Linked DNA regions of Mus musculus: all the other regions are reported to be linked to region 1. The links are microRNA targets in miRTarBase. Many come from high-throughput screens and were not tested one by one. Region 1 holds a microRNA gene; each other region holds the end of a gene's coding sequence.

The links. The annotated mature microRNA mmu-miR-125b-2-3p reads ACAAGUCAGGUUCUUGGGACCU and lies in region 1 at 966-987, shown strand. An mRNA with a match to its seed (bases 2 to 7 or 8) in the 3' UTR can be bound and repressed. Matches are read on the target gene's strand: a 7mer-m8 pairs with bases 2 to 8, a 7mer-A1 pairs with bases 2 to 7 and ends in A, and an 8mer does both.
Region 2: the mRNA of Dlgap4 is a reported target of mmu-miR-125b-2-3p. Seed matches in the 3' UTR shown: 7mer-A1 at 2,820-2,826.
Region 3: the mRNA of Cercam is a reported target of mmu-miR-125b-2-3p. Seed matches in the 3' UTR shown: 7mer-A1 at 2,366-2,372.

The regions. Positions count from the first base shown.
Region 1 is chr16:77,645,353-77,648,606 of GRCm38, forward strand. Mir125b-2 (microRNA 125b-2) reads left to right here and starts at 921; the gene lies at 921-991.
Region 2 is chr2:156,762,655-156,765,908 of GRCm38, reverse strand. Dlgap4 (DLG associated protein 4) reads right to left here. Exons shown (of 13, transcript NM_146128.6): 13 at 1,546-3,224. The coding sequence ends at 3,006. Among named protein-coding and RNA genes, the nearest start is that of Myl9, 11 kb to the left of the region's middle.
Region 3 is chr2:29,881,587-29,884,840 of GRCm38, reverse strand. It overlaps Cercam (cerebral endothelial cell adhesion molecule), which reads right to left. Exons shown (of 12, transcript NM_207298.2): 12 at 2,001-3,145. The coding sequence ends at 2,893. Among named protein-coding and RNA genes, the nearest start is that of Odf2, 6.8 kb to the left of the region's middle.

The DNA of each region.
Region 1 (3,254 bases):
CCCCTCTCTCCTTTTCTAACCCCCCTGCTTTTCCCTTTTAAGATCAACCACTTCTGAAGAACCAGATTCCACTTCTGTGGCCAGGAGTTTTATGCTGTGCTAAGTGTGATTGTTTTGCCCTGCATTCTGTGCTACTAAACCTTGGATCATTCCTAAAGTCCAGATTCTGCTCTTTCACAACAAGGCGAAAAGATGGGAGAGAATTTGATGAATAGTCAGGATTGAGACTGTGTATTTTCAAAAGTATTGAACTATATAATGTAATTATTCAAAGTAAAGGATCTTTTTTTGTTTTCTTACTATGTTGCCAGGATTTTAAGTTAAAGCTTGTTAGGTGGTCTTGTTCAAATAACTATGAAGTGTGCATGAAAATATTTGCTGTCTGAATAGTTTGCATATTTAAAGAGAAAAATCAACATTAATAGGTATTAAATTATGACATATTCAAAGTTTTTGTTTAAATCTTATCTGTAATAATTTAAATGAGAGTTTGAAGTGTTGTATATCCTGGGCCCACAGTAACAGTTGTGATATATAAAACTTCAATAGAAGCAAAATATCAATTAGGGCCCCATTAACTGGCATATAATCCTTTTTTAGTGTAATAGAAGTGGGTGTTGCTGTAAAAATCTGCAAGGAGCATATTTTAACCCATTTTTGTCTCCTTCTTTGGATAGAATGGGGTGATTCTTAAATGTCCATTGTCTGCTTTGTTTTTCATGCCCCACATTACTGTAAGTTCTGATCTATAGGTGGCCGTCCTGATTATTCAGCTCATCTTTGACTTTCATGTGTTACTTATGTTTCTGTCTGTGTGTTTCAATTAGTATTTAGAAGATTAAAAATAAATGAACCCAACTCTAATTCCCAAGCTGTCCGTTTACCTGGAAGAAGAATTCTCCTGCATCACACGAGACTTTGCCTAGTCCCTGAGACCCTAACTTGTGAGGTATTTTAGTAACATCACAAGTCAGGTTCTTGGGACCTAGGCGGAGGGATACCAGCAGCTTGGGACCTTATTGATTCTCGGCATAAACCACCAGAACAAAAGAACAGGCATAGATTCTGCATAGGCGCAAAGAACAATGGTTTTCTTTCTAATCAGCAAGGGTTTCACCATGACAACACCCCCAAAATACAATCTTCAGAATCGGTACTCTAAAGATATGGCACAGTAGAATAGAAATAGCGTTTGTATTTACTGTGATTATCGTATAAAAGTGTTGTAAGAGATATGTACAAGAAGTAGAATTAAAACACAAGTTCTTTTTAAAAAAATAAACATCGCTTTGGGTGTGTTTTAAGATGAAGAAGATTCATTGTAAGAGTTGTTTATATTCATAAGTTTTTGTATGCGTAGAATTATATACATTAGTTATTTCAATAAATTATGCATGCTTCCATAGAACTGTGGCTTAGACTACGTCAAATGAGATTCTAATCATACTCGAGGCCTGAAAAAGAAACGATTTACAGTTTTCTTTATTGATCTTATTCTTGTTGATACTAATATGAGAGAATATTGTTTTATACATGGTAATTTTAGCCAGTGTTTCCTTAGTCTTTTGCCCACACATAACAGTATATATGTATGAACAACTGCCTTATTCTGAGATTCACAAAGTATATATTTAGGGAAAATACAGTGCTTTTGAATTTCTACATTTCACTTTGTGTGTGTTATAAAGCATTAGAGAATGCCTATGAACTCAGCTGCTCTTGTTCACATGTAAAACACGTCTGAGATGCAGGCTTTGATCAGAATTTTCATTACCAGAAGTAAATATTCCATCCATAGCCTGTGTGACTTATTAGTCAATGATACATTAAACATGTGTTTTTTTTGATCTATAATCAATAAATCTATTCCAAATATACAGTAACATTGCAGAAATTTAGGCTTAAAACAAGGTGGCTTTCATAACACAGGCAAGAGTGACTTTGGTGTTTTAACTCTGATGTTTCACCGTAAATTGTTTTCTCCATTAGTAAATAAACCTATGAATCTATTTTAGGATATCATGTGGAGTCTTTGTTCTGTTTTTGTTAAGGTTGTTACTATTGCTCATTACTTGAAATATCAAAAAAATGCAAAGCATCTTTATTGTTTCCTAAAAATAATATAATAGTATCATAAACACAGACTACGTTGAAGTTTGTGTTGATGTCGTATCAACACAAAGAATCTTTTTAGATTCTTTCCTGGCCTCACCCCTGTCATTTATCTAGAAGCTTTAAAATCTAAGTGTGTATATAAGCATGTTTTACGACTCCATGTGAAAGGAGTAAATATAAAGTCAGAACTTTTCTTTAATCACAAAGAACTCTATGTATGTGTATCTGTGAGCATCACACAAGCTTGATTCTATTTAACAGAAGCTTTACACAGATGATCAGAGAGGAGTGTGTTTACTAACACCTGTTTTATGATAATCATAAACGATATGCAAGTGTTACTTCATCAGTTGAAATCCACAATGAACTAGGGAATAATAGTAGTCAGCTATGATAGCAAAAAATTTAAATGTAAAGGTTTTCTGTTTATGCTATGATAATGAACAGTAGTATATATTAACTTAGATTTTATAGGAGAAAAAAATGCTAAAATAAATTTCACTTCTCCTGAACATCACATATATCATATATGATATACATCATGTATCTTGCAATTTTGAACATTCTCTGTGCAAAGCATGTGTTGTGTGAGAATACTACTCACAAACAAGTCTTATGCTATAAAGGTGTGTGTGTGTGTGTGTGTGTGTCTGTGTGTGTGTGTGTGTGTGTGTGTGTACATCAGACTTTGTTTCATAAGCTACTTTATGTTGTGTGTGAATGGATGTGACTATCTCTGCATTTCTCTCTCAGCTGTCACCAGATAATGCAGTTCTGTGGATTCATAATGTGACTTGGAAAACCAGATCATTCTAAGCTTAAAATAAACAAAAAGATAAACAACAAAGAGTGAGAAGATGATGTGGTTTGCATACAAAACGCAGTGATATTAGCAATCTGATGGCTTCTGGATTGGGAGAGCAGCCTGAGCCAGACGCATACATTAAGAGCTGTCTGCTGCCCATGTGAGCTTGCTCAGTGTATTGGAAATGAGGGATCACCTCTCCTCTGACACCAGCTTATTTGTACATTTTAATTTTGAAGTAGCAAGTCACTGTTCCAAGTTCATAGACTAACCCCTGCTTGTTTCTCTCTCTCTCTCTCTCTCTCTCTCTCTCTCTCTCTCTCTCTCTCTCTCT
Region 2 (3,254 bases), not on the chromosome of region 1:
GGCTCAAAGGAGGTGGACTATCATCTAAGTACTATTCTTGTCCAGACTGTTTGCTTTAAATCTAGCCAGGGAGGAGTGGGGTGTGGAAGCACCTGCTTGCCATGCCAACATTCGGGAGGCAGGCTCACATTACAGGTCGAGACTGGGCTACGTAATACATCTCATAAAACAAAACCAAGAAACCTTCTGTAAGCTGCTCGGGCACTTTAAAATGATCACTGTCACAAAGAAGAACACAAGGAAGCCTGGGCACCCGTTGTAGTCTTCAGACTAGAAACTTGGTCTAAAAGTCACGAGTGCCCCTAACCAGATGTAACGGACCAGGGGAAGTCATGGGGAACAAGGCTTGAGCTACTACCTGTAGGATGTTGGGTATTTTAGGCTCCAAATGTCTGGATAAAGGAGTGTTGCCTGGAACATTTGTTTTTTTGAGGGTGTTGTGGCCAGGCAGAAACCGTCCTTGTTCTTAGGAGGTGCAGGATAGATTTGGGAAGCGTCCCTTTAGCATGGCACTAGGCTATCTAGGTGTAGAGACCCACGTTCCACACAAGACGCCCATCCTTTTGGCTTGTAATTCCAAGAACCTTCCCAGGCCAGATCAAGACTCTCCCATGCCAAGTTCCTCTCCTTCCAAGTCCCTGAGGCCCATGAGGGTAGTTAGGCCTCTATCTGACCTCCATTCCTCATGTCTGGCTTGCCCTCGCCAGCATTCACTTATACCTTTGAATGGCCGGTTAAGTGCTAGATGCAGAAACAATCTTAATCTGACAAAACAGGAAGCCACTTGCCCTTCAAGTGGGTGAAGGACAGCACTGTTACACAGGCCCGGGATGGCTGCTGCTGCTCAGCCTCCCTGACAGAGGCATGCTGGGATCCAAGCACAGGGCTCTATTTACAGCTGGGATTTCATAAGGGGTCCAGCTGGGGCCAAACTCCTGAAAAGCTGGGTCCCTGGGCCTGGGGTCACCCGTATCCTGACTGGGATGAGCCAGGGGAGGCATACATATGTGGTTCCAGGGCCTGGCCCAAGACCTTTTAAATACAACGTTCTGACTCCACTGGGTGGCATCTTCCTTGCTTCCTGGCTGTCATTCAGTAGCAGGCCTCTTCCACCTGGGTTGGACTCTCTGCAGCTCCTCCCCTTCTTCCACAGACTTACGGCCCTGTCACTGAGACTAATCCACACCACACTGGCTTCCCCCATGCAGCTCTCTCACAGCAGGTCATATTCCCTAAGGCACTGGATCCCTAGGCTGGTGAGGGGGCAGTTGCTGGGGGTCATGGGGCCCTGCCTGCCATGTACAGAGGCCAGGCCTTTGAATGAACGATCTGCTCTCTTTCTTCTGAGATGGTCCCTATGAAGTATGCTGTTCTGATGCCTGGTGGACTGAATGCCACATAGATGCTTCCTCGATTTACTGCCCAGGCTCACAGACCAGGGAGCCTTCCGGGAGGTGGGGTCTAGCTGGGTTTCCTGGGATCGTCTGCTGCCATCCTCCTTACCCAGTCCAGCCCACCACAGTGCAATAACACCATGAGGCCTCGTTACACGTTACCTCATTTATTCTCACAACATGCCTGTGAGGTAGGGAGGGGCAGGGACTGTCCCCATTTTACAGAGGAGGAAGTTGAGGCACACAGAGGTCAAGTGACTTGCCCAAGGTCACAGAGGGGGCGGCCAAGCTGGAACAGGCCCCCAGAGCAGGCCTTTGCTTCACCTGGGGGAAAACCCTGCAGCATGCGCCAGACAAGAGAATGTCCCCAATGCCCTCAAATCATATGCACAGTATAGAACAGCCCGATACGCCAAACTGCTGGGTCCGGCCCCCTCCAGGCGGCCTGACCCAGCCCTGCCCTCCCGTCCTGCTCTGCGGGCCCAGGCCTTTGCAGCTCAGGGCTCAGAACACCTTGGGGATGGGAGTGGGGGACAGGAGAGGATTGGGATGAAAAATCACAACAGAATGAAAAACTCAAGAGGCTGGGCTGACGGGCTAGGGGGACAACCAAAAACGGGACTGCTTACACACAAGGTATATTTTTACACACACTTGTACACACACCTAGATATAGTACATGTAAAAATATATGCTATTCACACACCCGCCTCCTGCAGGGACCCCGAGAGCCGGCGGCGCTGGTGGGCTTTGGGTGAGCAGATGGGCGTTAATTAAATATACACTCTAAGGTCTATGTGCATATGTACACAAACGTACAGAAGCCGCCACCTGCCCCTGGGGGACTGGATAAAGGTGCGGCCAAGGACAGCCAACCCCCTGGAAGCCACTTGGGAGTCCTACATTTTCTTTTGCTGAAGAGGAGGCTGGAGCATGGTAGCCGTGGTTTCCCCACGTGCCCCAAGGACCAGTACTTTCCTATCTGCTCAGAGGCCAGGCCAGTCCAGCCCGACACTGCCTAGGCTGGCGTGTGGCAGCGGAGGGAGGGCGGACCAGCTGTGTGTGAGCACTTAGTGGGGAGGTTGGGGTGGGTGGGTGCTGCCCTTCTCTCTGTCCTCTGGGTCCTCAGCCCCAAAGGGTGTGAACCAGAAAGCCACAATGGTGACCCCTGTGAGTTCTGCAGGAAAACAGAAAAGCTGTGGGCTGTAGGGGAGGGAGGGACATGGCAGGGGCCCAAGGTTGCCTTGGACTGTTGTCGTCGTCTTGTAAACAAGCTAGTTCTCGGCAGACAGAGCAAGTAAAAAGACCGCAATCTGGAGGCTGGGCCGCGGCTGCCCAAGTCGTCATCTGGTCCGCCATGGCAGCCCAAGGGGAAAAGGTTCTAGAGTGTGGTTTTTAATTTTTTTTAATTTTTTTTTTTTTGAGTCAAGTCTTCATAACCTAAAGCTCGGAGGGACCCAGAAAAGCCACATTGTGAGCCCTTGTGTGTGTCAATTGGAAAGTTGGCTCAGGGTCTCTAGAGATAATAACCATACTGAAGGGTGAGAAACGCTGTTCCATTTGCATTGAGTTTTTAATGATTTCAAATTGAGTGCTTTCTCCTTCACGGCCTTAGAGCCTGGTCTGGGCCTCGGGGACATAAATCTCGATGCTGTCCGCACTCTCTGTGGCCGAGTTCTGCCGCACAGACGCTGCTCGCTTGGCGGCCAGGAGTCTCTTTCTGGCCTCCTGACGCTGCTTGTCCCCCGCGTCTGAGGCCTTGTCGCGGCTCACTGCCGCCTTGGATTTGGCTGGCTTCTTCGGGACTGGAGGGGGTGGCTTCTTCTCTTCCTTTATTGAGACAGTGAGGAGGGAACAGAA
Region 3 (3,254 bases), not on the chromosome of region 1:
TGTGTGTGTGTGTGTGTATACTTGGGCGTGCATGTGTGCACACACACACACACACATGCACACACATATTAGTGCAGGTACAAGGTCAGAGGAAGAAGTTGGATCCCCTGGATCTGGAGTTAAAGATAAGTGTGAGCCATCGTGTGGGTGCTGGGAATTGAACCCAGGTCCTCTAGAGGAGCAGACAGTGCTCTTAGCTGCTGAGGCATCTCTCCAGCCCCCACCATCAGGCTCTCATTGTTTTGTGGTATCTGTTGTCCTTAGTACTGGTAATGGGAGACACCTTGTGTGTGCTGGACAGGGGTTCCAGGTCCACCTGACAGCCCATTTTCATCAGTTTCGTTTACTGCTGAATCCTTAGAACCCACCCCCACCCCTGCTCAGTCCCCGAGAGGCTAATCAAATTTTACAGGATGAATGAAAATGTTACCTGCTCTAGATTACAGACATCCAGAGAGGAAGATTTTCACCCTCAGAAGAACAAAACATCACAGCCTCACCTCTGGCCCAGAGTCCTCAGAGCTATGGCAGGTCCTGAACCTCTCTCTCCTGGGCTGCAGTGCACTGGCAGCGCAACCTCAGGAGGTACTATGCGGACTCTGCCAGGTCTGGGTGCTCGCTAACGTAACTCATGTTCAAGGGCTGCTGTGGAATGGAAGACAGGTAGGAAATGAGCTCCTCTAAGGGAGATAACCTGTTTGCACTAGCAGGTGCTAAGTCAGCCCCAACCAAGACAGGGAATCCCTTCCCCTCACTCTTCCAGCCATCTAAGTGCTGCTAGGCCCAGAACCTGGTCCTCTGTGACTAGTGGAGAGAAGTCCCCCTTTCCCACACAGAAGGGCAAAAGCATGTGGAGTAGCCTCTAACATCTCTGCCACCTCAGATGGAGTGGCCACAGCATCCAGATTGTAGAGTGGACGCTTCTAGTTTCTTTGTGAAGTTAGTAGTTATGTCATATGTTTTGCTGGGCCGCACAGGTGAAAGGGTGTTTTGCTGGAGCAGACACACGAAAGGACTCTTGATGAAGAACCATAAATATCCACCCCACAGACAATGGGAGGGGGAGCAGTGGTTCGGTTTGCTCACCTCACTATTCTTCACTTAACGACATGCACGTATTGGTTCGACTTACATAGCTTGTTGAGCTCAACCTCTGGTAATGCTGCCATTGTGAGAAGCTCGCCCAAGAACTGCATGAGGTTCCTGCAGCTGCTTGCCACTTCTGCAGTCTCCCTCCCTTGGGGCCCACTGTCAAGCCTGGTGGTTTCTGTAGGATTGAACTACAACTGCTGGTTCGTGCCTGGTGTCTGCCTGCTGAAAAGGCTGGACTGTAGCTGCTGGTTCGTGCCTGCCTAGAGGACTGGTCTGCAGCTGCTGAGTCGCATTTGGAGTTTGCTACGGGACTGAACTGCACCCAAAGATCAAGCTCACCCTCAAAGGACTGGTAAACAGGTCTGCTTCCTCCATATCCTAATGACTTTTCTCTTCCACTGCCTCTGCTGGGTGGTGGGCTAAAGGAGAGGTTGGACCCTTATTAAAAGCAGGTTGCAAAAAAATGTATGCCTACAGGATTGAGTTTAAATTTCCCATACTCTCTTCTCCACTGTGGGTCCAGAAGTCACAAAGAGCACCCTGACCCACCAGGTTAATGCTCTGTCACTTGGTGACTTCTGCTGGTGCTTATTCTTTAGGGTCAGAGCAGAACCCTGGCTCTCCAGAGGCAGAACTTGGCTTCTTACAGAACTAGGATTGCAGACACAGCAGAAATGCAAAGGGCAGGAGTGTAAGTGTGACCCCAGGCTGGATGGAGATGAGCACAGAACAGAGGCGCTCATTCTTCTCAGGAGCTATACCTTCCATCCATCCAAAGGAACATGGCTGTCCATCCAGGAAGCAACTGCCTGATAGCCTGACCCCTCCTCTTCTGCCCTCCCTCCCTCCCTAGCTCAGAGGGTGTCCTGCCCTGGCCTGGAGAGACACAAAGAGGCTCAGCTGTTAAGTGAAGTATAAAATGCTAATGCAAGTGGCTTTTATTGAAGGCCTACTGCGTGTTGAGCACCAGGTATGCCTCCCATCTTCTTGCACTTTCCACCAACCAGGAAAGAGGGTGCTAATGGGCCCCAGATGTGAGGCAGGGAGGGAATCACCAAGGCGGAGGTAGATGGAGGCAAAGTAGTTGGGTCCTCAGAGGGCAGGACTCTGGGCTCCAGCCAGCTTGAAACCCCAAAGGCTGAGGCCTCCCTGTCCCTGAGCCCACTGGCTCTAAATTTGCAAGCAGAGTCAAGAGTCTTGGGGTAGCCAGGCAGTGGTGGTGCACGCCTTTAATCCCAGCACTTGGGAGGCAGAGGCAGGCGGATTTCTGAGTTCAAGTCCAGCCTGGTGTACAAAGTGAGTTCCAGGACAGCCAGGGCTACACAGAAAAACCCTGTCACAAAAAAAAAAAAAAAAAAAAAGTCTTGGGGGTCTTAGTGTCTTCACTCTGAGACCTTCAGGAGTGGACTCTGTCTCTGAGTGCTTCTCCTCCCTTGGAATGAGTCCAGAGGACAGAAAACTAGCTGAGCCCAAAATAACAGTCAGATTTCTGCTGGCTGTCACCTCTTCCTCTCCCCTCTCATCGCTCATTTGGATTCCCACTTGGACCTCATGGGCTAGCGGTCAAGGGGGCAAGAGAAAGAAAAGGAAAATCAGATGTAGAGATGTCAACAGCTATGGAGAGAGACAGACAGGTAGAGAGGCAGATACAGAGACAAGACAGAGACAAAGCTAGAGAAATCAGAGAGAAGTAGACAAGAGGTGGGTTGGGGATGGGAGAGAAGCAGGAGGAGGGAGGAGGAGAGAGCTGAGAAGGGAAGCCCGGGCCGTGGACTGGTCCTCTTCTAGGTCCAGCTTCACCTACAGTTCATCCCTGTGGTGAGGATGGAGGCTGTGTCCACTGCTGCCAGTCAGGTGCAGGTGGGGGCCACGAAGGGCCTTTTGAGAGCCAGTCTGGCTAATGAGGCGACCACTGTCATCGTCCCAGGGGGAGGATGTCTCTGTGTCACTGAGCCACTCGGCGTCTCCCGAATAGTGGGTGGGGGAGGCAAGCAGAGGCCTAGCTGAGAAGGCTTGGAGGTCCCGAGGCCAGAAGTATGCTTTGTACTGGTCACTGTGAAGTGAGAGAAGAACTCTTAAGTGGACTCCAACCCAGAGCTGGGGCCTTGACTGTCTGCAGTACCTCTGACCTCCCTGCTAGTCCTCATAGCTACTTGAGAAGT